Neurospora crassa OR74A: one gene and its partner. Each later gene encodes a partner of the first gene's protein in a complex. Links are inferred from orthologs where the notes say so. Each region holds a gene or a part of one and is shown in the gene's direction. Other genes may lie near its edges. The genes, in order: NCU07560 and NCU04068.

What was found.
Region 2: NCU07560 (region 1) and NCU04068 share a complex: the UniProt entries of both Saccharomyces cerevisiae proteins name them as parts of the mitochondrial large ribosomal subunit. The link is inferred for Neurospora crassa OR74A from reciprocal best matches to the Saccharomyces cerevisiae genes MRPL17 and MRPL6.

What each region holds. Positions count from the first base shown.
Region 1 is NC_026503.1:4,356,639-4,372,421, forward strand, and holds NCU07560 (50S ribosomal subunit L30), read left to right. Parts: upstream 1-1,387; 5' UTR 1,388-1,734; coding exon 1,735-1,771; intron 1,772-1,917; coding exon 1,918-2,690; intron 2,691-2,779; coding exon 2,780-3,076; 3' UTR 3,077-3,641; downstream 3,642-15,783. Other genes in the region: NCU16690 (hypothetical protein), read right to left, coding at 415-738; NCU07559 (hypothetical protein), read right to left, coding at 4,172-5,073, 5,142-5,181, 5,483-5,817, 5,876-6,098; NCU07558 (sporulation protein RMD1), read right to left, coding at 6,953-7,029, 7,093-7,444, 7,510-8,733; NCU07557 (hypothetical protein), read left to right, coding at 10,437-10,557, 10,622-13,898, 13,977-13,996, 14,096-14,103; crf8-1 (TBP associated factor), read right to left, coding at 15,361-15,783. UniProt on the Saccharomyces cerevisiae protein: Component of the mitochondrial ribosome (mitoribosome), a dedicated translation machinery responsible for the synthesis of mitochondrial genome-encoded proteins, including at least some of the essential transmembrane subunits of the mitochondrial respiratory chain.
Region 2 is NC_026506.1:2,628,068-2,643,685, forward strand, and holds NCU04068 (mitochondrial 54S ribosomal protein YmL16), read left to right. Parts: upstream 1-7,828; 5' UTR 7,829-8,013; coding exon 8,014-8,299; intron 8,300-8,517; coding exon 8,518-8,631; intron 8,632-8,722; coding exon 8,723-9,090; 3' UTR 9,091-9,241; coding exon of another isoform or gene 9,242-10,528; 3' UTR 10,529-10,635; downstream 10,636-15,618. Other genes in the region: NCU04065 (potassium channel protein), read left to right, coding at 1-2,092; NCU04066 (hypothetical protein), read left to right, coding at 3,033-3,353, 3,431-4,780; NCU04067 (hypothetical protein), read right to left, coding at 5,259-5,720, 5,778-6,217, 6,276-6,767, 6,826-6,919; NCU04069 (3'-phosphoadenosine 5'-phosphatase), read right to left, coding at 9,242-10,528; NCU04070 (hypothetical protein), read left to right, coding at 11,488-11,818, 11,898-12,508; cmc (carboxy-cis,cis-muconate cyclase), read right to left, coding at 13,802-14,646, 14,719-14,827, 14,898-15,044. UniProt on the Saccharomyces cerevisiae protein: Component of the mitochondrial ribosome (mitoribosome), a dedicated translation machinery responsible for the synthesis of mitochondrial genome-encoded proteins, including at least some of the essential transmembrane subunits of the mitochondrial respiratory chain.

The sequences.
Region 1 (15,783 bases):
ACTCATGTGATGTATATGTTAGATGGTGTATGGTATCAGGGCCGGCTGGGGTGAATCTGGGTAAATATCCTGGCGGACAACTGGCGTGCGGTAGTTTTTATACATTAGGATCTTTTCAATGAACAGACATGACTTTTTTTTTTTTTTTTTTGTTGCATTTTGGTCATCGTTAAGGAACTTGGACTATGTAGTGTAGTCCACTGTTTCCGGCATTGCGCAAGGTGTGCTGAACAAGTCGGTTGATAACGTGATGACTGCTCATTCTATTCTTGTTCATCTTTTTTTGATATTCCACTAACTTGTCCATCCATTCTGATACGTAGCCTAGTAAAGATTTGGAAAGCTTGTCCGAACGCTAGCAAGGAGGCAGGTCTGATAATTCTATGAGATGAAGCACGCATATGTATATCGTGATCAGCGACATGGATGGTGGAAATGAATATTCTGAGCTGGGCAGTATGTGCATTGCGGCGTAGCTGAGACTTCAGTAGATGTGGCCGTGCTTGATCGCGACATTGACCGGAGTGACGACAAGCAAGTGTCGGGGATGGAGAACGATCCATGAATGATCTCAGGAAGGTTCATATCCAAAGTCAAGGAATGAATCGACAGGACACCAAGCAGCCAGACAAGACGCGTGCCACAAAAACGAGGCTTGAGAAATTCGAGACGGGGAAGCATTTCACGAAGTGGCAAGAATAACACTTTCAAAGAAACCAGCCCCATCTTGACTTTCATCTAGCGAAGTCTCCTCACACGTAGTGTACATGCCATGGAGAAGGAGACTGACTGACCAGACTGACTGGGCCAAGCTCATTTCTCAGAAAGAGCAAACACACACACACACACACAAGACAGTCTGCAGTATTATTACATACATACAATGCAAAACCGTCACGAGAGTTCGCAGGAGAAAAATATGTAAGCAGATTCTATCTAACAGCAACCCGGTAGAGCGTTTATAGGCAGGTACCGCTAGCGAATTCGTCTGCTCATGGTGGTTCCTCTCGGCACGGACTAAATGATCAGGACAGTTTTGGAGGAAGAGAAACGTCGTGATGATAAGGAATGGTGCCTTGAAGAAAGAAAAAAAAGAAGAAGAAGAAGGAAGAAGAGAAGGGGAGGGGGGATTGGTGGCAGTTTTATTGCAGCAGTTCAGTTCAAAAGTTTGCTGGACCCGCTTCGGTCAGGTGAGTGGTCATGTGGGGTCGTAGGAGCCGTGAACCTAACTGAGGACGTGAAAGTTATGGTGGGGTAGGTAGCGGGGGGGATTGGTTTTGGAGAAGAAAAAGGGAAGCTTTCGAAAAGGGAAGGCGGTGAAGGAAAGTAAATCGGTTGCCAAGACTCAATTGTTCAATCGCGACCAGGAACGAAACGAGCAGGGAGGGGACCTGACTGATCGGTGCGCGGCGGCAGCGCGGCAGGCGGGAGGGCCCCAGGGAAAGAGTGGGGCTGCGGACATCGAAAAAGTTCACGGCCGGTTTCCCGCGCTGTGTGTCGCCCGTCCGTCCGCTCTGCCCTGCCTGCCTGCCCGCCCGCCCGCCCGCCGCAGCGACCGACCGACCGACCCCGTCCCGCATCCACCCCGAGACTTGCGAGAGAGAGAGAGAGAGTTGCGTTGAGGATTGGCGCGCGCGCAAGATTCACCCGTCCTCCCTCCCTCTCCCCGTCCCGTGTCCCGTTGTCTACACACCCGGGCCCCGTTCAACAACCAAGTCATATATACTGCCCATCATGTCGGCGTCGAGTAGGGGAGCTGCTCTCCTTAGGAGTATGGACCACTTTTTCTTTATCTTCTTTTCGTATCGTCAACTCGTTACGAATTGGTGTTTTCCATGCATGGCTTCCGATCGCAAACTTTAAGCTTAAAGACACCATAACTAACCCGTCGCAATCTGTTCTTTCTCTTCCTTCCAGGCCAACAACGGTCCATCTGCCTACAATGCCGCAACCAAACCCGAGTACTTGCGCCCGCCGGCGTCACCAGCGCACCTAGACGTTTCTACTCCGCCGAGGCCTCTGCCACTGCCACTGCCACTGCCACTGCCACGACCACAACAACACTACCCCCTCCTCACCCGCCCGTCACCACATCAACAGGCACCCACGCCGCCACCTCGACCTCGTCGCAAATCTACCGCATCAAGTCGGGCGTGATCCTGACCCGCCCCCCGCTGCTGACGCGCGACCTCACCCCCTTTGAAGAATCCTTTTACTTTTACCAGAAGCGCCTCAACGAGCGGCTGACGGCCCCCTTCCGCAAGGACTTTTACTTCAAGAAGGACACGGCCGCCGACCTGGACTGGCGCATCAAGCTGAAGGAGCGCCACGGCGTGCCCGCCAAGGACATTGGTCGGTACAACCCGCGCGGCCGGATGGCGTGGAACGACGAGGTGCTGGTGGGGTCGCAGACGTCGTCGAGAAAGCACATGGTGGAGAAATTGCTTGCCGACGCGGAGATGCGCGTGTCGGAGGATGGCGAGGAGATCCCCGCCGAGGACCGGGTCCCCGTCGAGAAGCCGATGCCGAGACGGACGGAGGCGGATGAGAAAGGGGATGTCAAGCGGTTGGATCGCGCGCTGGACAAGACGCTTTATCTGGTAGTCAAAAAGAAGGCGGACAAGGAAGGCGAGGAGGCCAAGTGGATGTTCCCTACGGGCGTGGTGCCTACGGATGAGGGGTTGCATGAGGTTCGTTATATTCCCTTTTTCCCCAACCCAACTTCCAACCATTTTCCAAAACTCGCGGCCAACTAACCTTTGATGATGACGATAAACAGACCGCAGCCCGCATCCTCGCCGAGTCCGCAGGCGTCAACATGAACACGTGGATCGTCGGCCGCGTGCCCGTAGCCCACCACGTCGTCCGCCCCGTCTTCGGCCAGAAGGACGGCGCCCTGCTCAAGAAGGGCGAGAAGATCTTCTTCCTCAAGGGCCGCATCATGGCCGGCCAGGCCGACCTGACCGACAACCTGCATGATCTGGTCGACTTCAAGTGGCTCACGCAGGAGGAGCTGCGCAGCACGTTGGCGGAGGAGTACTTCCACAGCGTCAAGGGCATGTTTGCTGAGAGGTGAACAACACAACACAACAACACCCTATGTAGCCTGGTCTGGTGAAGTGAAGTATGGAAGAACAAGGTTGGAGAGGTGATGATGAGTCGATGGTCGAAGTCGGTGAGACTACACCATTATCTTCCGGGGAAATAGAATGGGGAAGTGCAGTGGGTGGCGGAAGAAGAAGAAGAGAGAAGCATGTGTACAAATGTATTGATATCAAAAGATGGTTTTAGTCGGTCGGTGGCAAGGTACAATTGTTGTTTATGCGCTGAGTAGACCTGGACCGCCCCCTAGCCGAACACAATCAAAGGTCTCGAGGAAGAGAATCAGAGATGGTTTGGAACTTGACTTGACAGTTCAAAGGCCTCGCACGCCTCAGCGTACTTGACCAGGCCGAAGCCAAGCTCGCATGCCATGTCTGCAAGAAGCGGGCGAAGGCTGACATGAAGCACAGGGACGAGAGAGGGTGTTGTTTGTAATGTAAAAACATATGCTGTGTATAGAGATTTGGGATGAAGATGTCATACAGGATGCGAGATGGTTGGTGAATACTACCAGACATCCGCTGGGTTGGTCATACCGCTATCTGAGGTGAAGTCTGATACTAACATACACAAACAAGACAGACTGAGCTAATCACATATCTGTGACCCGATTCTGCATTAGAGACGTGGATAGGTATGGCAGTGACCTCTTCAAGATCCAGCCTTGATCAATGATGAACACCGGTTCTCCCGGCTTGAGACACACAGTCAAAGCTTGTGCCAGCCGCAGACCAAAGCAACGGTACTTTTGAGCTGGTTGAAAGTCCACACCACGGCGGCCTGTAGGATATCTTCACACGTCTCCTACGCCTCCATCAGGACATCCTCCTTGATCATCCATATAAGGCCGTTGGCTTACACCTCTAGCTGGGACACTTCTCGCGCGCGTACCAGTGGTGTACTCCTCCATTCCTCGTACATCATTAACAAATTACTTGTTGGCATTACCACACCACACACAAGTCAAGTCTCAAATCTCCACCCATCTGAAAAGCAATCTGAATAACACACAAATCGTGCCCAAAGCCCACACAAAAAGGAGCTCATACAGGAGGTCCCGATGATCATCCTAGAGATTCCGAATCCGGGACTTTCTGAGCGGAATCGAAGTGGTGAGCGCCAAAACTTCACCGTGGTCAAGGACCAATTTGTTTCCAAACTTTTCCCAGAAAACTGCCTCCCACGGGGGGAGACGATGAACCTCAGGTGCCTCCTGCTTCTCTTCCTCCTCCTCCTCCTCCTCATCACTGCCGTCACCGAAAACACTGGGCGGGGTGTCAACCATGCTTCCAGTCATACCAGAAGCGACAGAAGAACAAATACTTGACCGACGACTGATAATGCTGTTGGGCGCAAAGGGATTGAGCGTGAAGAAAAGCTTGCTTGGTTTTACCGTCTTCATTCTCATGCTCCCGCACGTCTTCTCGGGCCGAGTCTTGCTCAGCCACTGCTCCTTCTGCAGCTTCTTAGCTGCAACCTTGAGGAATGCGAGGTTGGAATACCAGCCGTAAAGACCGTGTTCTTCAGCCATCTTGTTCTGGTATTCGAATCCTCGTACTGGTGTGACCCCGGGTCCTCCCTCTTCCTCTGCGGCAGAGATGAACTCAATTGAAGGCTTGTGCCCGTGGAACGAGGGAGATGGATAGTTGTTGAGGGGATACAGAATCCTGTTATCCACGATCCGAGGGAAAATGTTGTGTATTTCTTTTGTGAATCCGTCGAATGTCTCTGGAAGGGGGCCCAAAAATGTCGAGTAAAAGTGACACAGCATGTCGAGCTGAGAGTGTATGAGCAGGATAGGTCGTCTGAGCCTGTTTCTATCCTCAGCTGCTCTAAGTCTGTCGCGGAAAGCCGAAATAAGTTGATTTCGCAAGTCACGATCCACCACCGATACGTATGCCAAGCATAGTTCGGGCTCGATGTCGTTGGCAAATTGTCCCCCGAGGAGGGCCTCCACCACGTAGAGAAATCCTGCAAGAACAAACGTTAGTGGAACCAGAAAGGCCTGGGTGTCATGAAGTGCTATTGGAGTCGCTTACCTGACTGTCGCGCCAGTGCAATGCGGCGGTTCGTCAATCTCTGTGAGCATCGATCAGTAAAACAGTCCTAAACTATTGAATTGTGGCTGTTTCCCTGACCTCAATGGTGAGCTCTGTGCGACTGAGCTTCGTGATCTGCATGATTCGATTGTCATCTCTAAGAGTTGCGCGACAGTCATCAAAGCAGGAGTAGACAAGTTGGCAGATGAGTCCAACTTGAAGGCTAGTAAGCCGTTCGCCTGAGGGGGTTGCTAAGTCAAGAGTTTTGTCCTGTAAAGGAAAGCGGGCATGAGCTTGATGACCAGCAAGTCGACAGACAAAATCAGAAGGAGTCATCGTACCTCTTCTTTCAGCCAAGATGTGATCTGCTCATTGGCCCATGCCCGAAATTTCTGGGACTCGGCATCTAGTTTGTTGATGTCCAATGGCTTCTTGGTCTCCCAAGGCTGGAGGAAACGCTCCTCGACTGTTTGCGCCTCCCAGCGGGCCAAGTAAGGAACACCCCGTTCCCAAGCTTCGTTAAAACCCCAGCCGTTTGTCGCCAACTGTTGAAGGGTGTCGTATGAAAAGGAAAACGTTCGATTGACGGTCTTTGCGATGAGTTCCGCCTGGATATTTGCAGAAAGGAACCAAGGGGTGATGGCAAAGTTGAAGCTGCGCGCAGAGTATGCTGAGACTCGGAATGTCAGTTACCTCGGTGAACACCCAGGCTAAGAGATTGCCATCGTACGTACCCTTTTGCTTCTCGTCGTATTGGAGGCAAGTAAGGCCAATCTTGGTGATGTGGTAAATCTTGGAGTGATTTACCAATTCGCGGTAGAGCTCCTCCTTGGTCAGGTTAGCTTTGACGACAGCATCGGGATAACCGATTACAGAAAGCGAAATGAACTCGGCATCGGCAATCGCGTCAAGGATAGTGGGTAGATGGCCCCAGAAGTTGACGTTGTCGACCTCCATTTTGACAGAGATCAGGATCGAAGCCGCGATCTAGATGTCCATCAACATAAGTTTTGAGCCTGATGCGAGCAGATCTTGCGAAGTTGAATGCCTAACGACCCTGGAGGAAGGATGATGGTAGGAAAACAATGTTCGAACGCCGAGGTGGGGTGAAAAGGTAATGAAACCCCCGTGAGGAAAATCCCAAGTGTCCTCACTGCCCAGGCATCGCGGTAGACGCGACTTCCGCTATCGGCTTGCCTTCGTCGTACCTTCCTCGCGAACTGGAAGCTGTGCCTGTCACTTCCGTGTGCTGCAGTTCCTTCTTCGTTTGCGACGGGAACGTCACCGACGGACACCTGCCCAGTCCTGCCTGTTTGGTGCCTTGACCGTCCCATAGTATGTTTCATGATGTATCATGATGTATCTGCCGGAACATCAGATGAAGGAAGAGTAGGGAATGTCACCCGGCCAATCGAAGTACCGGGGAAAGATAGAAAAACGGGCAGAGTATCACGTCTGGTTAAGATAATGAAATGAAGTCTTACTGGTATATCGTCTATCACGGGTCGTCAAGCCAGAACGAGAATATCGTTGGCGCTCTTTGACCTATTTTCTCTGGCATATCAAGGCTCTCTCTCTCTGCCTTTCTTGTTCATCACTGGCCCTACGAAGCGCCATCCCTTCTAAATGCTATCCACCAAAGAATCCAACCAGACAAAAACAACGTCACAGCTCATCGCCTTTAGGCCCAGAACTCCTCCAGTGCTCAGAAAGATGCCCAATTCCATGCAGAAAATAATTAAAAGGAAAAGAAGTGAGTTACGCAGGGACCACCCCTCTGTTGGCACTGTATCCCGAGTTGCTGTCTTCTTCTAGTCAACGCCCGCATACAAATCGACAACAATGTTTACGGCCGCCACGAGAATCTCGGCAGCAATAAGGACAATCACTATAAAGTAGTTAGCATGATCCCAGGATGTTGTTGAGGGTGTATGTGTGCATGGCCGCTTACCGATCCACTCTAGTTTCTCTCCGTGACCGTGAGTTAGCTGGTCCTTGAGAACAGCCAACAGATCGGCAATGACATCCATACGCTCTGTCAGCAACTTGACACGCTGGTCCATCTCGAGGTAACTGCGCACGGCCTTGTACAATGGTTCGAGTTGTGGCTCGACCCAGAACAGCTCCGGTGTATCGAGGACGGAGCCGTTTAGGTGAATGTTGACACGCAATATGAAGAGCTCTCCAATTTGCATATTGATCTGTTGCCGGCTGAGGTCGATCTTGCCCGTCAATGCAATCTGCGTGGGGATGTCCTTGCATGTCTCGATGGTTGAGGCAATGAGTTCTTCAAAAAGAGACGTCTATGTGATAGGGTTAGCCAGCAGTCTTACGTCAGGCACAAAGTATAGTAAGGTGAGAAACCAACCTTCACACTCTGGGCGAGAGCGTGGGAAATGGCCAGTTTCGTCATGTAGTTGTTCTTGTCTCGCAAGGTAATGAAGTCGTTGTAGATCCGGGCCTGGTACTCGTGTGTATAGTAAAAGTTGAAGTACTCCGTCTCCGTATCGTCCGGCCCCAACTTTTCCAACTCGAACTTTGCAATCTCCTTTAGGAACCGCTGTTCTTGGGCAACCGACATGCCCCATATTACCACCACACCGTACTCAAAGAGGAAGACTTCCGGAGTGTGGACTTGAATGTCGAAATCAGCCAGCGGGTCATCCGACACAGCGTTCTCGTCGCTGATGACCCCTTGGGCCACCATGTCCTGAACACCTTCCCTGGAGGTGCTGCCTCCATTGAGATTGAGACTGATCAGGTCCTCTGTACTTTGATAACCACTGCTGTCACCTTGCGTCACCTCGCCGGTGGAATGTCTGCGAGAATGTATCGGGTCAAAAAGCCCCAGCTGTTGTTGCTCCTGGGCTTCTGCCTCGGCCCGGTTGTTCTCAGCCGCCTGCTTGGGATTGTAGCTATAAGGAGTGTAGATGCACTCGTCGATCAACTTTGGGTTTGCGCCCCGACTCTTGGATCTGCTCTTGAGGAACCGCATAAGGCCGTCCATCTGGTACCTACTAGCTGTGCAGTACGCCGTCACTCTGGGCAGCCTGTCGCGATCCGCCTTGCCGAGGCGCGCAGCATCACGACGGGCCGTGGGATCCTTGATACGGGTGTACTGCGAGTATACGTCGCGACCGGACTCCTCGTCGACGCCATCTTCCTCCAGCTCTGGGTTGGGTAACAGCTTGAGCTTCTGGGCGTTCTTGGTGCTACGTTGGGGGCCGATCTTGGGCAGGTGAGTGTTGCCAGCAGACGTATAGGGCAGGCCGGAATTGTGGTTGGTTCCGATAGTACCGCCGCTGTTCCGTCGTCGCATCTTGCCATTCAAGGCCGATAACATGGGGGGGCCGCCGCCGAGACCACCAGTGCTAATGGCGGAGGAACTTGAAGGGGACATTGGCGGATGCGGTAGGCTTGGATGCGAGGCGCGGGCCTGACGGTAGGCTGCCTCGGGCTCGATGGTCTTGGTAACGGGATTGGGGTTGAAGGTGACAGTTCGTTGCGGTCTCGTGGGACGGCTGACGTCGGGCGATGATGGTGTCGTAGTGGGGAGGAGCGGTGTATTCTCTGACGGCGTAGTGTTCTCCATTGTGAATGTCGTCGCAATCGACTAGTTGGTTGTTGTGGTGGGTGCTGTTTTGTGGTAGACCTGGGTTTTATGCGTCTCGTGTGTTTTTGCTGAATCACCGATGGAGGACTGGTCGCACGAAGGGAACAAGCAAACTGGAGATATCGACAAGGCCACCTCAAGCGCCAACGTGGATCTCTGGAGAAGCCAAAAACAATGGGTATTTATTCTGTATATCAACACACCACACTCAAGCGGGAAAAAATGCGATGCTCGCTGGTTGGGCCAGAAAAGAACAGAAAAAGATCAGAAACACGAATCGTCGGCCGTTGTGGCGGACGGTGATGGAGGCGTCTGCGGAGTAGTTTTGGTGGTGGTGGTGGTGGTGGTGGTGGTTTTCTGGGTCCGTGTCGGGTCAAGGATGGGCCCAAAGGCAAGATTTGGAGCCGGCCGAGAAAGAGAGATGCCGTCAGTGACGTCTTGTGGCCGGTGAGATGGTCGTCCGCTTGAAACCCCAAACAGTGGTGTGTGGTCGCGGCTCCGGGGCCGGCCATTATGCTACAGGGCAGTGGACTGCCGCGCCCGAGACACCTCAGCGACCACTCACAAGACAAATTTGAAATCTTTTGCTGCTCTTTTCAGGCAAGACTGGCCCCCACCTGGCCAATGCGACAAAGGCTTAAAATGCGGAGAACGGGCGGTACCTCAGATGCTCCCGGTCTAGCCCCAGCCCGCCTCCCCAGCACAATGGGGAATGCTCCTCCAGCGGGCACCAGCTGCAAGCTTCCCCTGTCGGGCTTTGTTTTGAGGAACATCATCCGTCATCCAATGTTACCCCCCCTCATTATATGCGTCGTCAAAAACGGGAATAGCTTCAATTCATTCAACTCATCAAGTCACCACTATAAGGTGCTACAGCCACTCTCAACATCATGATCTTACCGTATTTGGGATCGCGGGCTCATGATCTCGATGTTGTGGTCATGAGCCTTGAACACAAGCCATTAGGATGAGGAAATGAGTAGAATGTTGGTGGCTTCATTTCATCTGGACTTGACTTTACGGTGAACGCCATGTCACGATTTGTGGATATTTGTATGTTTACCTTCTTGCTGGGATCCACGACTAAATACACCACAGACAATGATGGCGATGGCGACGACAACAAACTCCTCCCAGCCCTTGGTTAACATTGCCGTGCTCTATCCCTCTAAACATCACTCTTTCAGAACGTGGAGTTACGTTCAAGCGGTACCATAAATGGAATCTTCCTCTTTCTTCCTCGCCCTCCTTCTCTGCTTCATGATACTCTTCCCTCACTCCCTTCTTCGCTCTGCATCTTAGGTCATCCTCTGCTTTTACTCTGGAGATCATTAAAAGACACTCGCACTCCGCGCCAAGAAATCTACCTGTATCTCGATGGATAATTGCTGCTCTTACAGTTTCCTTCCCAGACATCGTCTTGCGTCCGTATTCTAGTGTCTATGGAGTCGAAAGTGTCCGCAGCCGCTGTTCCAACTACACATTATTAACCTTGACAAGAGTTCAACGCCATCTCATATCTGCCACCTTTCAACAACTTGCTCGATCAATGGCCTCCATACACTCACTGCGCCGTTATATGTCAATCAGTTAGAGCTTGCAACGGCCGTATCGGAGCGATTCAAGTATCCATACAAAGGATACAGACCAGGCGGTGCTCGGAGTTCCACAACACAACCACGATGAACTCGATATTTGGGCCAGCCAAATCTTGGTTTACGTCGTTGCCGACATCCACCCAGGCTCTGGATCCAGAACCAGCAGCAAGCAGTTCAAACAGCTCAACACCCGGTCATAGCCACGGTGTGTACTCAGCCCCATACAGCATTATGTCGACCGAGACAGCTAACAACTTTCCAAGAAACAGCCATTGATACGTCGTCATCATCTCCGAAGAGAACCGAGCCGGACGATGAAAGTAGTTCAGATGATAACCGTTTCAACACGGCCATCCAGGACCACCTGCGGCAAAATCCTGTTCAAGAAACCCCAAAAGAGGGAACAGTTGAGGATAAAGTAGAGGAAAAAGAACCGTTTGGGGGAAGGTTTGAGTATGTGCGCGCAGCTCTTGCGAAAGAATCAAAGGGGACAGAAGACAGCGACGATGCCACGAAGTCACTCCAGGCAAATTTTTCTACATCGTCGACCAAACACGACGCCGAGGCTGGGCCTTCAAAGAGGCCTCTAGTCGTCGAAGATCTTGAGGTCTTGGGCCGTAGTGGGAGTGTCGACAGTGCGAAGAGACGGAGATTGAGCATCGGACAGCACCGGTACCCCGGATATTATGACCACCTTTTTTCAAAGGACCAGCGTCAGCGCTTTAAAAGAGAACCCGGCTCATCTCATTACCGGATCAGAGCGCCCCTGAGACCCCTGAGTAAAAACGTGCTTTCTCGAATGAGCCCTTGCACGAGCCTGGATCACGCGAAGTCAAAGGAGATTGCTAAAAGTATCAGGAACACGCCAACCACAGCAGGCGTTAAGGCGACGGAGAAAGTCCAGCAGATCAAAGAGAGGGCAAAGGAGACTCAAGCACCCAAACGAACAGAAGAGCAAGTGCTACGAGAATTCACCAAAGCCCCCATTGAAAGCATATTCGGTGGCAAGACTACAAGCAATCCAACAAACACCACTGTTCCTTCGAGGAGCCAGCCAACCAAAGATGCACGAAGAACGCAAGGTGGCAAAAATCCGGCATCAAGCCAAACAGCAACCCATCAAACAGCTCAAGCAACACAGTCGTCTCGCTCAAAGGAGAAGCCTTCGATATCACGTCTTACGCAAGCGGACGTAGATCAATTCAATTTCTTCAAGGACAAGGGCCCTCAAACGAAGCATGCAAGGATAGTCAACCATCTCCCCAGCAGTTTCAACGAAGAGCGAACCGGTTATAAGTTCACAGCTCAGCGCGCCACTAATGATTTCCAACAATCACTAACAGATGGGAGACCAGTTCGGCCTTCGCCAGCCTCAAGACGCAAGAAGTCTACCATTCCATCATCGAGCAAGAACCCACCGGCACCGACAACCAGCATTCACGCTCGCCCACCAACCCCGCCCCCTCATCACCTCCCAGCTGCTCCTCCTCCAGTTCCAGAACCAGCCCCCGATGCTGCCATCCCTCCACCCCCTCCACCCAAGAAAGCCGTGCCCGCGCAATCCCTCCTCTCCCCCACCGATGTCATCCTACAATACGTGATCAAACAAACGAAAAAACACCCCATCTCCGAGTCCGACTCTGTTCGCCACTACCGATCGAAGGTCGTGTACACCTCCAAAAAGGAGGCCAACGAAACCTGCCGACGACGGGTGCTGAACCTACTCAAGGAGGACATCCCCTTTCAAGCTGTGGAACAAGGATATGTAGGCGACCACCTGTTCAAAGGAACGATTTTTTACGAGGATGGGGACGTTCAGTTCTACTATGTGCACGAGGAGGCGGCGATGCTGGGGGACGTACTGGAGAAGAGAGAGTTGTGGGTGGACGAGGAGGGCATGGGGATTTATGCAAAGAGGATGTGGGCTGTTTGGGCTGTGAGATATTATCCGAGTGAGGAAGAAGAGACGAAGAGTCCGGGAGTGGGGATGGGAAGTGGAAATGGAAGGGTTGAGGTAGATGAAGGGGTTGAGGTAGTGGATGAAGGGGTTGAGGGGGGTGACGAAGATGATGGTGAAGAGGAGGAAGATTTGTTCGGCTGTGGGGACGTTGATGGGCAGTTGAATGAAGGGGTCACATCGACGACCAGCGAGGACTTGGTCACTTCAGGATCCCAGACGAACATGAACAATTCCCAGACCGAAAGTCACCAAACGCAAACGCAAACCGAACTCAAACTCGAGACGCAGCAGGAAATCACGAGCGACGGCCAAGGCCAAAGCCAAAGCATCCAAACACCATCAGACGAACAGACGCAGCCTACACTTCAGACGCACCAAAGACTTGAGGGCGACTCAGATGCTCAGCCAGAGCTAAAGTCCCAACCCGAATCAGTTACCCAACCACAGCCGGAGCCACAGGCTCCCTCCGATCCCACACAACAAGCCCAACCTCAACCACCATCGCAATCGCAACCCATCAATCCACCACGCCCGCCCACACCCCCCTTACCCTGCTCATTATACTCCCCACCTCCCCCCTCAACCATCTACTCCTCCTCTTCAGAATCCGACTCAGAAGACATCTCCCACACCAGAAGAAGAAGAAGAAGTCTTCCCAACAACATCCCCCCACCCCCTCCTCCCCTGCCCTCCTCCACCCTCCTCCACCCCGCCACCACTCTCCACGGCACTTTCACAACCCTCCGCCTCGCCAACCTTGAGGCATTAGAAATCTTCAAAGCCCTAACCAAGCCGAAGCCACCCGCGAGGATGAACGATGTTTCGCACTGGCGGGACGAGGTGGTTCCCGAGGCGGAGGCGAGGTTCAAGGAATGGACTAACGCAAATGGCCAGGATGATGATGATGATGTTGTTGATAACGGGAAAGACATCAATGAGCAGCAGGGAAACAATGAAAATGACGCGGACGATTACTATGGAAATGTGATAGAGAAAACACCATTCAACATAGAATGGGAGCCTGATGCGCACTTGTTCAAGTGGCGGTTTAGAAAAGTGCAGGTGTGGGTTCAGGAGTTGAAGCTGAAGGGGCCGAAGGATTTGGGCGGGTTGGAGGTTAGACAGATGCCGTCACGGTCGTCGGAGGTTGCAGGTCGAAGTACAGGTACAGGTAATGGAAATGCTGGAGGAGTTGGACCGGTACCGGCATCGACATCGATATCGGAGGCGGCAAGGCCAAGGCCAAAGGCAAGGGGGGCTGGAACGGTAAAGGTGAACGCTTCAACTGCAACTGCAACTACTTCCCTTCGCACCGCCGCCCCTAGAACGGATGATGGTGATGATGATGATGATGAGCTCGCCAACCAACACACATACTACAGAAATGCCCGGGAAGAATTAGCAGCAGCCAAGGCCAAAGCGAAGGGAAAGAAGCGTCGAAGGCCAACAAGAGAGGAGAAAGGAAAATGTAAAGCCATTGATGTTGATCCTGTTGTTCGTGGGCAAGGCAATGGGAAGCTGGCGATGCAGGAGGGGGAGGACGATGAGTGGGGAGGAATTGAGGAGGGTGACTTGAGTGAGGAGGAGTAAGCAGATAGCGGTTGGGACTTAGATATGCATGGCTTAATCTTTGAGATAACAAGCTTATGACTACCCACTGGCAGAAGTTTCATAGTGGAGAATTGTATGTTGATTCTATAAGCGTTGAGGAGGTATGAGCGCGTTCGTACGATACTTTCTGGGTTTTCGGTAGAGGTAACGACTGTGGTGACCAAATGTATAGATAGGTAGAGGGTTTACTTGTAACCCGATGGAGATCCAGTTGGCGAAGTTCACTTTCTTGGCCCTTCTTTGCAAACCAGGTGAGGGTTTGAAATTTACAGTTACAGGTCTTCGGTCCGAAGCTTACAGATGTCTCGAAGTCGGCGAAGGGTTTCAACGTTCAGTGAACGCAACAAGTTGCACATTATATCCGTGGCAAGACAACAACGGCGAATCCCAAAGGCTTTGCAAGGCAGTGAAAGGGCAGTGGAATGGATACAAGACGACCAACAAGAAGAGTATTAATCCCGTCATAAACATGTAGTAAGGAGACTTCACACGCTTATGTCTAGTTTGTTGATACTGCCTGAACACGATCTCTCACCTTAACTCTACTCACCCACACGTCAACGTCAAAGACGAAGCTTCACAGGCATGACACGACACGAGTCACTCCAAGCACGCATCTCAACGGTAGCATAGCAAATTCATGGTATTCCGATCTACCTATCCATTCCTTTTCCAGCAAATCCACAAGCTCATTCATGCACTGTATCCGGCCATCCGCCTCACCCACCATCCATCCATCCATCTTGATCCGTTTATCCTTATTTTATTTCTCCCTATTTGCACCAGAACCAGCCAACAACACCGTAACTCCTCATCAGCCAGCCGACCAATCCCCAATTTAGCAATGACCTCGCCTGCTGTCTAGCTTTTGACACGCATGAAAAGAAAGGAAGGAAATTAAAACAAGCAAGAAAAAGCAAGATACAATGCTGTAATGCTATATATCCTACAGGTCGAGCGCAAATGGGCACTCCTCGAAGTTCCTCCTCCGCCTCGCTTATCATCATATGAGCAGATACCTATGGGTATCTTCATGTTCATCCAGCCAATGGTAGTCATCCCTTTCTTCTCGTTCCCTCGTCATTTTATGATGTGATAGACTTGAGCGTCCTTGTTGCCACCTCGATCGATTGTCGTCAAGTTGACCATCACTGATTGAAACCGGAAGATATAGTCTCCTTTCCGTTCCCACTCTCAGGGGGTTTATCCAGGCAATGGCCTGTCAGCAACGCTGTGATCAGGCGTCAAGTCCTGTCTTCGTTCTTCCACCATCCACCACGGCTCGGCACTCGGCATGCGCGAGCTGCGAAGCTGCGTATGGGGATAGTCGTACATGACTTGTTCATACCCACTGCTCATCAACGACTTGAGCAGGTATACCGACAGACTCAGTTCCTTGAACAGCAGATGGCTGTTCAGGGGAAGCCTTTCAGGCCCTCACTGCATAGTCTTCAGGAAGCCGTCGAGATCGAAGCTTTCCTCGTACTGTGAATTATCCCACAGCTCCCCGAGGCCTTCGAGCCAAGCCGCTTTCTTGCCAGGTTGCCTGACATCGCCCGTCTCGATATCCACCATGTCCTCCTCCCTGCCCTCGAGGTTGTCCTTGTTCTTGCCCTCCGTTATGAGGTTTGGTCCGGCATCACCAAGGTTGAACAGATCAAGAATCTGATCCGTATCCATGGTCGCAAGTCCTGCATTCTGCTGGTTCACTACCGTACTGGCGACGTCGATCTTGAAACGTTGAAGACTGAGAATCTTCTCCTCAAGTGTTCCGCGGGTGATCAAGCGGTAAACGTTGACCACCTTCTTCTGACCGATACGATGGGCGCGGTCCATGGCCTGCAGATCCTTCTGCGGGTT
Region 2 (15,618 bases), on another chromosome or scaffold:
CAGTATCTGTGCTCTAGTCCGGCCATGGAGACAGAATTACACCAAAGGGGCTGACATCAAGACCGCCACCTTCATCAAAGACCCAGCCTGGCTGATCGCTATCAATGCAGTCCAACTTGCCATCGCGCTAAGCTCCAACCTGGCGCTACTCCTTAACATGACCAGGAGACTCCGGTTCTCCGTCGCTCAACCCGTCACCATTGTCGGATGGTACCTTTCATCCATATGCTTGATAGCCCTCGCAAGTACGACAGCCGGACCGCTGAGACCGGAAAACAACGACTTCATCTGGTCTGAAGCTTACTTTTACGGCATCTACGCCGCAGTCCTGTACTTCGTTGTCGCTTCGCTCATGGTAGCTACCGTCTGGGGATCTCAGCAGGGGCACTACGCAAAGGATTTCATGCTCACACCCAGTCAGAGGACACTGATGCTACAGACCATCTCATTCCTCATCTACCTCCTCATCGGTGCCCTTATCTTTTCCAACACCGAAGGATGGAACTACCTCGATGGCGTGTACTGGGCGGCCGTGACGCTCTTTACCGTGGGATTTGGCGATTACTACCCTACCTCAACTCTCGGAAGGGCTCTCCTCTTCCCGTACTCCCTGGTCGGCATTATCAGCTTGGGTCTCGTTATTGGATCCATCCGCACTTTGATGCTAGAGCGCGGCAAGAAAAGACTTGATGCACGTATGGTGGAAAAGCTCAGACATCGCGTGTTAAGCAAAATGGCCAAGAAGGGAAAGGATGGTATACTTACACCCATAAGGGATGCAAATTCCGATTCCCCTGAACTGTCTTCCAGCTCTGGTCTGACCGAGTTCCAACGGCGACAATCCGAATTTGAGCTGATGAGAAAGATTCAAAAGCAGGCGACTCATAGGCATCGCTGGATAGCTTTGGCTATCTCTACAAGCACCTGGTTGGTCTTATGGCTCGTGGGCGCCAAAGTCTTTCAAGAGTGTGAACGTCAGTATCAACAATTGACCTACTTTGATACTTTTTACATGGCATATGTTAGTCTAACAACCATCGGATACGGAGATATCACACCGGTATCCAACGCCGGAAAGTCCTTTTGGGTCTTTTGGGCACTCCTCGCTCTTCCGACTATGACAGTCCTGATCTCTAATGCAGGAGATACCATCGTGAAGGGTATCAAAGATGCCACGGACAAAGTGGCTACCGTTACCATTCTTCCTAGCGAGCGGGGCTTCAAGAGCGAGTTCAAGGCAACCTTTAATGCCCTTTCCCATGGAAAGCTGTTTACCGAGGATATTGAGGAGTCGCCCCCAGGAATACATGGAGCTTCACAGCGCCATAGGTACAGCAGCGAGGAGAACGATGACGAGGGTGAGCAAGCTCAAGATCGAGCAGACGTTGATGCCGAAAGCGCAAACACGGGTCTGATAAAGCAGAAACAGGCGAAGAATGCAAGAAACGAAGAGAGTCATAAGAGGCGAGTGGAAGGTAACGCAGCTGAAGAGGACAGCGGCGATTGTCCTGATCGAGCAGTTCGCTTCGATGACTCCTCTACTACGTCAGGGACGAAAGGATCGAACGGCCGGTCGAAGAAGATGGGAAACACGGATGACGAGAACCCGTGCGACCAGAACTCGAACTCAACTCCTCAGCTTCCTGAAATGACGCGTGCCGTCTCAATACCACGCCAGGACTTGCCCCAAAGCCCCATGGATCCGGCCGAGTACCACCTCACGCTGATCGAAGAGATCGGGCTAGTAATGCAACACCTCAAGAGCCACCCTCCGCGGAAGTACACTTTTCAGGAGTGGGCATGGTACCTGCGGCTCATCGGAGAGGACGAGAGCGACGCAGCTAAGCACCGAAAGCCTCACGCTCATTTTCGTAGCAGTAAGGATGAACTGGAGGGGAAAGAACGGGCGAAGTGGAGTTGGGTCGGCAGCAGGAGTCCGTTGATGAGCTCTCAAGAGGAGGCCGAGTGGATCCTGGAGCGGTTGATCGAGACGCTGACCGATGAGCTCAGAGGCGTCAAGGCCGCGAGGAGGAAGAATGAGATGAAGAATCAGAAAAGTCAGCAAACGGACACCTTCATGCCTGGTCTGTAAATGTTGTTTCATTATGATTAAAGGGGTCACAAGTGAGGATTTTGTGTCCGAAATTCGAGACATGGTATGCCTCACACATGGTTTGTGCACATGATGCTTCCCCTCATCTTCATCGGTTGTTGTAACTGGCAATTCGTCAGAAATTCAACCGTAGCATGGCGTGGCTGAGGTTCTATCTGAAGCGCAGGCCAAGATATTTCTTTCCTATTCCGGATGACCGACGACCCTTTGCTCCCGCTCCTATTACTGGGTCAAGGCAGGAACATCCAATGTCAGTCGACGCAGAACACCTCCATCCCGAGCTGAGTCTGGAACGCAAATGACATCACCTTCTACAAACTTTCAGACATATCTTTGAATACAACGAAGTACAACAACATCCTTACCGCTACACCTATTTGGTTGAGGAACCACAAGGGTATCTTGCCAATCGATCACTTTCTGCGACGGAGGATCCAGAGAATCCTCAAGGTACATTTACCTCTCTTCATACCAGCAATGCCATGCCCGTTCACAGTCGTCTATGCTCGTCCATGTTGGTTTACTTGATGTTACTCGCCCACTCTGTCCCCGTCCGACAGCAACAGAGAACTTCTTCATATTTCCATCATCGGGTCAGTTGGGAACACTGTGAATCTGCCAAATAGGAGAACTTCCGTCGCTCCTGTTGTCTAAAAGCAGCTAGACCGGCCGAATTTGGTGTATATTGGCTTCCCATCACCCTATTGTGCAATCTACCAACAACACGTCACTTGCAGCCAGGCATGAAGATAAATCCTAGATGAGAGGCTGACTTACACATGTGTTTTTTGCGCAGATACCCTCCCAACTTGAGCCAATTCCTACCAACAGCTTTCCAGATTGGAAACCTATATCAGCCAGTCATTCAGTAGCTTCAGGGCTATATGGGAGTTTAGCTACCCACACATAGATATCCAAGATGTTTTGGTGCACTTGGAAATCCACGGCACTGTTGTTGCCCTTTCTGTTCTTCTGGCTCTCCGGTACTTCGGTCCAAGCAGCAGCGTCGACATGCCCGGCGCCCGTGCCTGCGTCATATCCTGCACCGGTAGTCCGTAATGGTTTCGAAGCCCGGCTCGTGGCTACCGGACTCAAGAAGCCGAGAGGCGTCATCGTCGATTCGAATGGAAGGCTACTGGTCGTTGAGGCTGGTAAAGGGATCACACACATGACTATAAAGGACGATGGATGGCCATGTTTGTCTGTGGAGAAGACCACGACAATTGTGTCGATGAGTGATGTAAGATGAGCTCTCCGTCCTGACCGGCCGTCACCTTTTTATAAAACAACATGAAATAAAGACTAAAACCACAACAGCTTAATCACGGCATTCAACTCTCCATCGACGGAAAAACCCTCTATGCCTCTTCTTCCAACTCAGTCTACAGCTGGGCATATGACGCAGACGCCATCCGCGTCAGCGACGAGAAATCTCCCAAGACGCTCATCAGCAACATGACTAACGCGGGCGGCGGCCACTCCACCCGCACGCTCCTAATCTCACGCAAACAGCCCGGAATCCTGCTCGTCTCGCGCGGCAGCGGGAGCAACATCGATAACGGCGCCACCGACCATTCCTCCGGCATCTCACAGATCCGAGCCTTCAACATCTCCGACCCCAACCTAGGAACACCCGGCGGCGGCGGCAAAGTATACGACTATCCCAGCGAAGGCTGGACCATCGGCTGGGGTTTGCGTAACTCGGTCGGAGTCGCCGAGGAGCCCAACACAGGCGGCATCTACAGTGTCGAGAACAGCGCGGATGGTATTAAGCGCTTTGGCGTGGACATCCACGAAGACAGTCCCGGAGAAGAGATGAACTACCATGGTGTTCTCCGCTTCCCCTCTTCGACTCCCGCTAATCAATCCTCTTCTGTCAACCAAGGACAACAGCAAGGAGGAAACCACGGCTACCCCTACTGTCTCGCCCTCTACAACTCCTCTGCCTCCCCTTCCTTCCCCTCGTTAGGAGACCTGAAAACCGGCTCCCAATTCACCCACGACTCAACGCCCTATTCTATCCCCTTTTTGCCATCTTCCGACTCCTCCTCCACCTCCTCCTCCCCACAAGCAAAACCAATCAACATCACCACCTCCGACACCTCCTGCTCCTCCACCAACTTCATCCCTCCCCGCCTCACCTTCCCCGCGCACACCGCCCCTCTCGACATCAAGTTCAGCAATGGCAATGGCAACGACAATCAAAGTCTAGGTCTAGGTCTAGCGTACATTTCTTTCCACGGAAGCTGGGACCGCTCTACTCCCGCCGGGTACAAATTATCCGCTGTGCGGTTCGATACAAGTAAAGGGGAACCGTTAGAGGCCAGCGATAGCACGAACAGTCTTGTGGACGTCATGTGGAATCGGGATGTGAGCAAGTGTCCGGGGCAGTGTTTTAGGCCGGTGGGGCTGGCAGTTGATGGACAAGAAAGGATCTGGATGACAGATGACGATAAGGGGGATGTGTGGGTTTTGAAGCAGGTTGGGGAGGTTAAAGATGAGGAAGGTGCTGATGGGGGGAGTGGCAGTGGAAATGTTAATGGGGATAGTGATAGTGCCGCTGCCCCAATGCGTGCCAAGAGGAGTGGGAGTTGTGCGGAGTGGTTGGGGGTGGGAATGTCGGCTATGGCCGCGGTTATTGGGAGTCTGTTGTTTGCTGTGTTGTGAGTAGGTTATGGTGTTTGAGGTTTGGAGGAGGCAGAGTATGTCTGCGATGATCATCAGTTACGAATAGGGGCGTTGCTTGATTATTTGTTGCCTAGGTGCACTAAATCAGACTTGTGAGAAAGGAGACGACGATAGCCTCTACAACAGCCACCTAAATTTTTGCGTCTACTTGCTTGAAATGCTAGGCTGAGTGCCGGTGCATTGCTCGAATTGCTGGGAAATAAATACGAATGATTTTCCTAGCGACTATACGCAACCTAAGATGTGCCGCTTGCCCATATGGATGAAGGACTATCTTCAGACTCTTATTTCCCCCATTTCTCTCCTAGATTGACCCGAGTTACCGTGACCTGTCTCATCCCCCAACGACCAGAGATTGATACCACCAAATGTAGCGTGTGTGAACAGATCCCAAGCATATGGTTCCACGCTTCTTGATTAAAGGATATATGCACCTCAGATTACCCCCAGACTAGCATCATATTTCATAGGGCAACGCAGTCGTGTTTGCAGACGTTTCCCAAACCGACGAGTAGAGAGGGGCCTCAAAAGACTGCAAAGCACCAGCAATCTGCTCAAACGACGAAATCATGAACCCAGCCACCTCGCCAAGCGCCAAGAGTGCGAGGTTGCGAACAGCAGAGGGCGGTAGGCCATAGGATCCCATGACGAGAGAAGCGGTAGGGCAAACGATGTAGGGCCACCAGCTGCGCGAGGAAGCACCGGTCAACAAGGACTCGTTCACAGACGATGCCGCTTCCGCGGTGTTCTCCAGTATGTCGAGGATATCGTTGGTGATGTTGGAGGCTTGTTGGAGTCTTTGCGTTTGGTCCTCGTATTTGGTGGCTAGGGTCTCGGTGACGGCGAGGAGGCGGTCCATTCCTTGCTCGAGGTTGTCTTGACGGAGGGCTAATGCGGCGGCTTGTTGGTTGGAGAGTTCCTATCCAGGGTTAGTCACACGATGTAAGTGACGGTCACTGTCAGGAAGATGGCCTACAATTTGTTGTTGTAGGGCGGTGGTTGATGCTGCGGCTGTGGCAACCACCGCAACTAGGGCTCCAATGCCATCGTTGGCTCGGACGGAGACTTGTTGAAGGGCATGTTCGTGCGCATGGGCCACTCGTGAGTGACCCTCAAGAACACCAGTAAGCAGTAGGTTGAGCAGTTTCTGCAGGTCTTCGGCTTGTTGTTGGCTGTCGTGTAGGGAGGCAAAGGACCTTCGGAGTGTTGCTTCAACATCGGTCGCCAAGTATTCATGAACCATGGCAAGCCCATCTCTCAGTTTATCGATCTGTGGTGTGAGGTTGTCGAGATTTTTCATGGACTGTTGTGTCCGCAGGTCAAGTCGATTCATTTGCTTCTGAAGCTGAGCTTCCACGCCTTCTGTAAGGTTCTTCATCACATTCGTGAGTCGTTGATAGAGGAGAATGTTTTGTGCTGTAAATCACTGTCAGCTACGACTCTGAAACGGTGCGTCTCAACCTAGATACCATACCTTTCTCATTATCCGCTCTGGCCGCCTCACAGAACCGCAAGGCCTTGTGCCGATAACTAATCCACGTATTCCACGCAGCATCTGACGACTTCATGGCTGACAGGCAGTGATCGATTTCATGACTGCTGACGTGGAGTTGTGCTTGGTCCCGGATCGCAATCTGACTCAGGGCCGGTTCACGGAACTTGGCACATTGCGCCGGGATATTGAACCTGCCTCGCTCCAAATCACATATCGCTAGACTGGCAGCGTAGGAATCAACAAAGTCGCGAACTTGCCGACCAGTGTCTGTGAGGATTGTGGCGTCGTTCTTTCCGTCTACCAGCTGGCAGTTGTTGACTAGGAGTCGGGCGGCCACACGATGGCAAAACGGTTCTGATTCGAGTTCTTGAAGTTCACTTAGGGCGACGGCGTAGATATTTGGTAGGCGTGAGGACGCTCGAAGCAGATCCGAAGGCTGGATGTTGCGGTCGATGTTGACTTGATGGTCGGCTGTGTTGCGGTCATATTATTAGTCAAGCCCTGCAGGCAGTGCTCTGATATTACTTACGAACTGCCACTTTTCTTTCACCTCCCCACGAAAAGGCCAGAGAAGGTGTAGCTGTAACGGCACAGAGAGCCGTGAAGAGAAGCTTCCTGGCCATAGTTGTCATGTAAGTGCAATGCGACAGGCTGATGATGATATACTGATAAAGTCAGATGCGTCCAGAAGAGTGCCGTCGAAGGGACTTCGGCAGTAAGAAATGGAGATTCTGGCAATATTGGTAGTGCAATTTTGGCGATCGAAGTTTGTGGCCATGCAACTGAAAATTCTGTGGTGTTTTTGAAGAGAAGGAGCGATTCAAGAGAGGGAAGGAAGGAAGGTGTATGAGGGTAAGTTGGCGATCGCGACTGCCCAGGATAAGAGAAGCGGACTTGAATTTAGCGGGACAAGAATCACAGGATTGTGAAACCGCGAAAAGGTTTCGTGTGAAATGACTTCACTTGAAGTTCGCATCGAATATGACTGTGATTGTCTGCCGAGCTCGACTTTTGCTGGTTCTTAATCGTCTGATGTGACGCTGTCCTCTCCAACAGAAGCGAGCCTAGACAAAGATTTGGGCTGTAGACCACTTGTCTTGACATCACTGGAATCTGCATCTTTTCATCCGGTATCGAGAAAGTGCAAACAGCTCGCTTGAGACAGTTTGGAAGACTTCGACCGTGACGGGTGTTCTGGGTGGTGATGACTATCGTGAGGTTGGCATCCGTAAAGTCGTCATCGGAAAGCTGGACGATTGTCGAACGGGAGATTAATTCAACATTCAATCTGAATATTGTGAAACAATATGTTCCATCGAGTAAACTCTACACTTCCACGCCCTGTGCCATTTTCTTTTTGAAGATTTCTTACTCGAGATGAATGATGTCGGATGGAATAACATCTGTTGGTGTTCGTCGTTGTTTCTTAGCCCAAGCGAATAGCAGCAGCGAGACTATGCGGATACGACCCTAACCCTGTTGTATTTACAGCCAATCACTAGCTGCATTGCTGTGCCGCGTCAGGTCCGATACATTTTTTGGAGCTCTCCGAAGATCCACTCGGTTCATCCCACCACCCGGCCGGCTTGCCATTGACTCGGTGCTGCCCTTGCGACTGCCAGAACCTCCGAACTGGAGCGCCGCGTCTCTTCGCCAATTCCGGTTCCGCATCGTGACGACGGCCACCACCCTGCCGACGACGACGACACTCACCACGATGTTCGCCCCAAGCCGAAGGAGGGTCCTTGAGGCCGTTGCCTCTTCCTCATCTTCTCCCGTCGTCACACTCCCCGGCTTCCTGGTGCCCGCCTTCCAACAGACTGCCGGTGCCGCCGCCCGGCGCAACTTTTCCGCGACGACAACCCGCCCGTCCAAGCTCGGCCGCACCCCGCTCAGTATCCCTCCTGGCGTCGAGATCACCATTGGCGAGCCCTTCGTCAAGCGCGACATGACGCAGTGGAAGCAGCAGCCTAAGCGCAAGATTACGGTGCAGGGCCCGTTGGGTTAGTTTGTTCTATTGTAAAATCGACTTGGCAAAAGGACCAGATGGGTGTTTTATTTGAGGATACGCAACGAAACTGGAGCGGGCGCAACAGATGGGCTGGGAGAGGCCCGAGAGAGAACGTTGTTTATGGGTGTTTGCGCGAGAGTGCAAAGGGGACTAGGATGGGAGCAGAGCAGCTGGCTGACTTGTTGCACGTGTGCGTGTGCTTTTTCACAGGACAACTCGAGATGGACATTCCCGACTTCATCAAGATCGACCACGACGCCGAGGCAAGGAGAGCGACCCTCAGCGTAGCGAACCGGGACGAGAAGGAGCAGAGAGAGATGTGGGGTATGGCAAACACCTTCCTTGTCTTGGAGAATGTGGAAAGTTACGGGCGGCCAGTCAGCTGACGATTTCGAATCTTTCTTGGACAAAACAGGAACAACATGGGCGTACCTCAACCGCTTCATTATGGGTGTATCAGAAGGTCACACGGCCGTGTTGCGTTTGGTCGGTATCGGTTACAGAGCTACAATCGACACCCGCCCCGAGAAGGAGGAATACCCCGGCCAGCAGTTCGTCTGCCTCAAGCTCGGTTTCTCCCACCCCGTCGAGATGGGCGTTCCCAAGGGCATGAAGGCCAGCACGCCGCAGCCGACAAGAATCCTGCTTGAGGGCATCAACAGAGAGCAGGTCATGACCTTCGCCGCTGATATCAGGAGGTGGCGTGTACCGGAACCCTACAAGGGTAAGGGTATCTTTGTCAACGGCGAGACCATCAAGTTGAAGCAGAAGAAGATCAAATAGAGGACGCGCGGTGGGTTTTGGTGGCTGATATGGTTGTTGATGAGGATAAGGGGGGAATATTGTACATTTAGTCTATTATTTTTTTTGGCACACACATGGCCTCATAACGGCCCGATACCTGCCATAACCTGTACACTATGACACCGAGGCTTTACTGCTGCCCGAGAACTTCCTGAACGACCTTGATGACCTGGTCGTGGACCGCAGCAGGCGCCGCAATGACACCCTTGTTTTCAGCCAACGTGCGGCCGACGCTGAAATCCAGGCGGTTTCCACTCACGTCGGTAACCTGACCACCAGCCTCACGCACAATCAGATCTCCAGCAGCGTGATCCCAGATCTTCTCCTGGTAAGACTTGGAAGTAGGCAGACGGAGGTAGATATCACCCGCGCCGCGAGCAATAGAGCCGTACTTGGCCTGGGAATCCATGCGCACACTAGGCTTGGTGATCCCGAGCTTCTGCGCAATCTGTCCAGCCACGCCCTGATCCGAGTGACCCGCCTCCACGCTCTCGCAGAAGCTGGCGTTGGACATCTCTGTAATAGGCTTCATCGCAATGGACTTGCCCTCCGCAAGACCGGCGGTGCCCAGGGGTCTGCTAGTCGCGCCTTGGCCCTGAACGGCCGAGAAGATGACACCCCGGCCCTCATCGGTCGCATTGGTGCCGATATCCGCAGCCAACGGCGCAGCGTCGTCCACAGGCAGGTTCGGGCAACCGAGAACACCGACCTTGACGTCACCGTCCACCATCAGTCCCAAGCACACGGCATACTGTCCACCGCGCAGGAAGCCCTTGGTGCCGTCGATGGGGTCGATAGTCCATATCCTGCCCTTGGCGCCGCCCTTGCTGTTGCCCTGGTCGATGATCTCCAGCATCGCGTCGGCATCCTTGATGGCGCCGCCAAGGAGTTGCTCGGCAGCCTCATCGTCAAGCTTGGTGGACTTGACGAGCTCCCAGATCTGGTCCCGCAGGGGGGTGTCCTCGCGCAGCTGAGCGGCCTCCTCCTCAGCCACAATCTCGTCCGAAGGAAAGTTGGCCTTGAGGGCGCTGATGATGAGCGCCTGAGCGCCAAAGTCGCCAATGGTCACAGGGGACTTGTCGTCCTTGGAAACGGTGCCCTTGGCCTTCTCGTGGAAGACGCGCTTGGTGAGGCGGGCGGCCCGCTGGACGGCGAGCTGAGCTACCTCGAGCTCCTTTGCGTACTGGGAAGAGGCCATCTTCTGTGTAGATGTAGTTGTAATGGTTGAGCGGCTGGTTGCTGTGATTGTGTTGGCACTGCCAGTCAAATGGCTCGCAATGAGGGAAAGCCGGGGAAAGGAGATGCGGGAACTGAAGATAGCCAGGATGAGGACGATGAGGGAGAAAACGAAGAGAATTTTGGAGTAGAAAGTATGGGACGATGCCTTTTTCTGCTGTTTGATCTTATCCACAGTCATACAGCCGCGAGAGGATCGATAAACCTCGGGGAATTTTCAATCCGTAACCGGAATACGTATTCAGTCCAAGTTGTTGAGTGGTTGAACTTGGGATTCTGGCTGTCAAATGTTCCCCGCACTGATTCTGTAGCGGCGAAGCTGTTGACGTATGACTGCCCTTTTTGTCTTTTTTCCCACTTCAATTGGTTCCCCGCAATGCCACCAACCGCTCGCTATCTCCACAAATGCAGACATGAGAGTCTCAAAATCTTTGTTTACTTTGATGAAATGCTTTACCTATTTCTTGATGTTTCTTTTTCGATTTGGCACTCCACTCTTGAGAGAATGCCCGTCAAAACAGCAATGATGACACGGCTCGGTTCAGGGTCCTTTCCATGTTAAACATGAGCACCCACGGATAAGCTAGGTAGCTAGCCCCGAACTCGGAGAGAGCTTCTCTTTCGACTCCAATATTCATCACATTTTGTGGGATTTCTATCTTCACTTCCGCCGACGACACTCAGACGGTCCCGATGACCTCGAAGCGAACTGCGCAGCAACAGTAAATTCTGCACCCTGTTATCAACGAAAAGGGAACCGGACCGAAAGTCCAACCCTTTACATTCAACGAACCAACTGAGCTCCGAAAAGCTGCAGCATCCATGCCGCAGCGTGCCAAGCCAAGTGGCTTGCTTGGATCAACTCCCATTCAGCAACTCAAAGCGCTTCTGGAGACACCATCACGGGTCACATCGATGCGGAGGTCGAGCTGAACAGGCCCTGGTATAACCTAATTGCCAGCCTCATGGTGTTGCTGGTCACTTGATAAGTATGGACGGGCCGTCGTGGCGCCCACGGGTGTGTTTTTACTTCTATCAAGTTTGTATTTTCCTGATAACTCTGTCAATCTCCTCATTGTCCATTTTTTTTTGTTGTTGTTGTTTCCTACAAGTTCTGGTTGCTGATGACCAGAGAGAGCGATGCGCGAACCCGCAAAAATGATTCCTACTACATCTTCCCTCTTCGCGATACTTGTGTACCTAGCGACAGAAGCGCGACAAGTACGAGCCGACCCAAATGCGCCGTGTTACTTTCCTGGTGGCGAGTTCGCACCAGGCTACTTTGCTTGCCAGGCCTTCAACGCTCCAGTTTCTTCTTGTTGTCCGGCAGGGTGGACATGTTTCAGCAATGCGCTTTGCATTACGACGACAGAAAGCAACTCGTTTCCCAACTTGACTCTGGGCGCGGTGCAGCGAGGAGCTTGTACAAATCCTCAATGGAATAACTACATCTGCGGGAGTGCTTGCCTTGGTAAGTCCAATCAAAGCTGTCTGACGGTCAGTGCCATTGTCAACAACTGACTGACATCTACCTTGCTTTCATTTAATAGATAACGGGAACCGCAAAGGCGAATTAGCTGCCTGTGGAAACGGCCGATTCTGCTGTGCGTCAGACTTCAACGAAGGAAAATGTGACTGTTCATCAAACGATGAAGATAGCAGTGCATTCACCATCAGTGCCGGCCTGGTGCAAACCATTATACAAGTGTCTGACACGACATTCACGGGAACTCCATCACTCAGCATCGCGTCCACGAGGGTTAGCACCGTAAAAGCATCCGCCACAGGATCAGGAACTACCATTCAGATAACCGATGACCCATCATCAACCTCCCTAACCTCCAGCGAGACCTCTTCATTGGCGCCGACGACAACGCCAGCTGCTCCACCCATTGCAAGTTCCAATGGAGACGTTGGCAGTGACTCCAGCGGCTCTAGTAGTAGTAGTAACGGTCTCAAGATTGGGCTAGGCGTTGGTATTCCGGTCGCTGTCTTGGCCGCTGCGGGAGCGTTAGCCTATCTTCTCTGGTGGAAGCCGAGGCAGGATGAGCGCGCGCGTCGCATTTCGCAGCATGACCATTACTTTGTGTCGACGGATCTGGCGGAGAATGATCCCCATGGGCCGGCTAAGTACGAGCCGTATAGGCAGGCGGCTACATAGTAAGGATCGGTCAAGTGAGGGTTGTGTGCTGTGTAGTTTCGATATCAGGGGAGGATGGAGGGACATCTGCTTTTTGGAAGTAAGGTTGATCGAGAGGAAAGTAGTGATGACGATATATACTTCATCTTTGCTGGAACCCAAATCCGTCATCATGCAACGTGGTTCTCTGGGATACGTTAACGCACATTGTTCCATTTTATTGAAAGAAAGCTCATTGTCGATTGAACGTGCTGCGTAGCATATTAGCCATGGCAAATGACGGAAACACATCTTCCAAATTTCGAACCTTCCTTCAGTCCGCCGGTGTAATACAACAAACACATTTGAAAAAAAGATAGGTTTTAGAGATGCGTGACAACTGAACCGACCATAGCCTTCGGGAACTAAACCACCTACCCTTTCCGTTTACAAACACTCACGATGCATTTTCACAGTGACAATCCAGACCTGAGTAACGCTGTAAAACTAATCCCTCCCAGCCTTGAAGGCCTTAAAGAAGACGGAGAGAGGGATAAGAGGATACGTTACCGAGGCTTCTATAACGGCACAAAACATCACCATTCTGCAATATCACATCGAACAGAGGACACTTTCTCTGTCTCTTGGAAGTCTAATAAGAGCTCCCAAACTTGCCTGCTCGACACAGGAACCTTCACTAAACTAACGAACAAACCAACTCAACCACCACAACCTTGTCCCTAACCTACCTGAAGGTTTGGTGTTTCCCAGTAGCAGCAGATATTTACAAAAACCAAGAAGGTCTGAAAAGACCACCTAAAGAAAAAAGAAAAAAAGGATAGCAGGCAGGACCATTCATGCAATGATGCGCAAAAAGAGTGGGATTGCCAGGAATCGAACCTGGGTCCTCTCGGATCGTTGTGTACAAAGAACCACAACGAGAAGTACTGACCACTATACTACAATCCCTTGTGATGAGAGAAACTTCAGATCTATGTATTTATATACGTCGGGAGACCAGACACAGTGGGCTGGTATAGCTCTTGGGACAAACTTCGTCAACCACGCCCCGGCTTTGTGTTGGTTCACCACTACAGCAAAGACTGAAAAATTGGCAGTGAAATAATGGACGACTTGCTTCCCAATTGCAAGCTTGCATCGTTCGCGGTCTACAGGTTCAATCCTTTTCTACTTCATTGTCATGATCATAGATAGAAGCATGTTGTTACTGGCTCACATTGATGTAACGCATCTTTCGCTACTTACCTCTTGCGCATCCTTCGGGGGGTACACCCATCATCATTCCTTCATCAAAACGACAGAACAGCATTCCATCTAATCGTACCAAATGGCATTCATCCCAAACCCTGGCTCCGGAATCCTGACCCTCGCAACCCTGTGCAAGAACTCGTCCTTCCACCGATAAATCTCCAACCAGCCCTCCTGATCGTCCGTAATCGCCATCCACTCATCACTCCACGGGCACGGGCTAACCGCATTGCTATGCCCACCGCTCGTCGGCGTCGGGCTAAGGAACAGCTGCTTCTCGATGCTTCCGCAGTCCCTGAGCTTGAAGCCCGCAATGTACCCCTGCAGCTCGAACTTGTTCGCCCGCGAACTAGCAAACATGTACTTGCCGCTAAAGGTCAGCGCGCACACGTCGGCGCGGTAGAGGCCCTTGCCGGTCTCGGGGTCCCGATCGGGAATGCCCGGTGGGATCAGCGGGAAGCTGTGATGCGTGTACACGGGCATGTGCGTGGCCGGGTCGATGACGTACTCGCAGATGCGGTTGCCGGCCTCCATCAGGGCATACAAATAGTTGCCCGTGGGGTGCATGGCGACCCAGCGCGGGTGGTCGCCCGGATCGGGAGCGTCGACGGAGCCGACTAGTTCGACTTCGCCCGAGGCCAGCTTGCGGTGCGTCCAGAGCTTGTTTGCGGTCAGGTCGGCTGAGTAGAGGTAGGTCTCGGTCGGGTCGAACACCATGCCGTGGATGCCAGTGTTTTCTTGATATTCGTAGTTCTGGACGTTCTTCTCGAGCTTGCCGGTCTCGGAGACCGAGAAGACGTTGCCGTAGCCGGCGAACTTGTAGAAGGGGTTCGCATAGACGGCGTAGGGGGGCTGCTTGGCTGCGAGGAGGAAGATGGCACGCGTGTTGGTGTCGGCGTCGTTGGCCCTGGCTGTATACAAACACAAACACGTCATTTAGTCCGAGAACATTGGGTCGTGATATAGGAGTTTTGGTAACGTACGGTGACCACCGATGGGGTGCGATGCCTCGTGGACAATCTCAGTCGGGCTCTTGACGGCAAAGCTGCTCCATTTCTTCATGGCAGCGCCGTAAATGTTCTTCCTCTCATGCTATTCCCATCTCCATTGTGAGCAGGCAAAGTCGCAGTACTCGTGGACATTTGATGATGGATTCTCATACGTCAAAGGTCATCCATGATATCGGCTCATCCTGAGGAATTTCTGTTCTCTTGATGAGCTTGCATGTGAGCTTCTCGTCGTCGAACTGGACAGTGAAGATGGCACCTGGCGGGGTCCAGGTACCAATCATCAAATGATGGAGGGGCATCTTGAAATGACGTCGACTGGGAGGAATAGGCGACGCGACTGCGACTGCGACTGCGACCTGGAAAGTTCACGTCGGCGTAGGATCACGAAGCGCGAAACAACGATGTTGAGAAATGGGAATATCTCGAGGACCTTGACGGACGAAGTTCCATGTTCCCAAAATCCGACCAGTTCATCCCATCCCCCAACTCGAGATCCGACATGATTGCCCGGCTGTCGCGAGACGGGGGTCGCATCAATCGTTTACACATGGAATGGAGCTGCGACCGGCATTGGGAAAACGCTGAATGGTGTTAGTTTCGTTCTGCCCCCCACTTGGTCCCCAGCTTTCGGTATCCAATGGTGGGGAGAATGTTTACACGGGCACGAGGTCGGGACTCGGAAAGCGGCAACGGTAGATTTCAGAAGGATTTCTTCCCAGCGGCCGCAGCGGACTTGTGTGGGATTTTTCCCATCTGTAGCGACCACTCCAGTGACCATCGTTCCATGCCCGCCTCTGCAAGGCCCAGAACGCCCCCGAAAGTCGATTGGGAGGGAGACCAGGCCTCCCTTGCCCGCCGGATGAAAACCGGAAC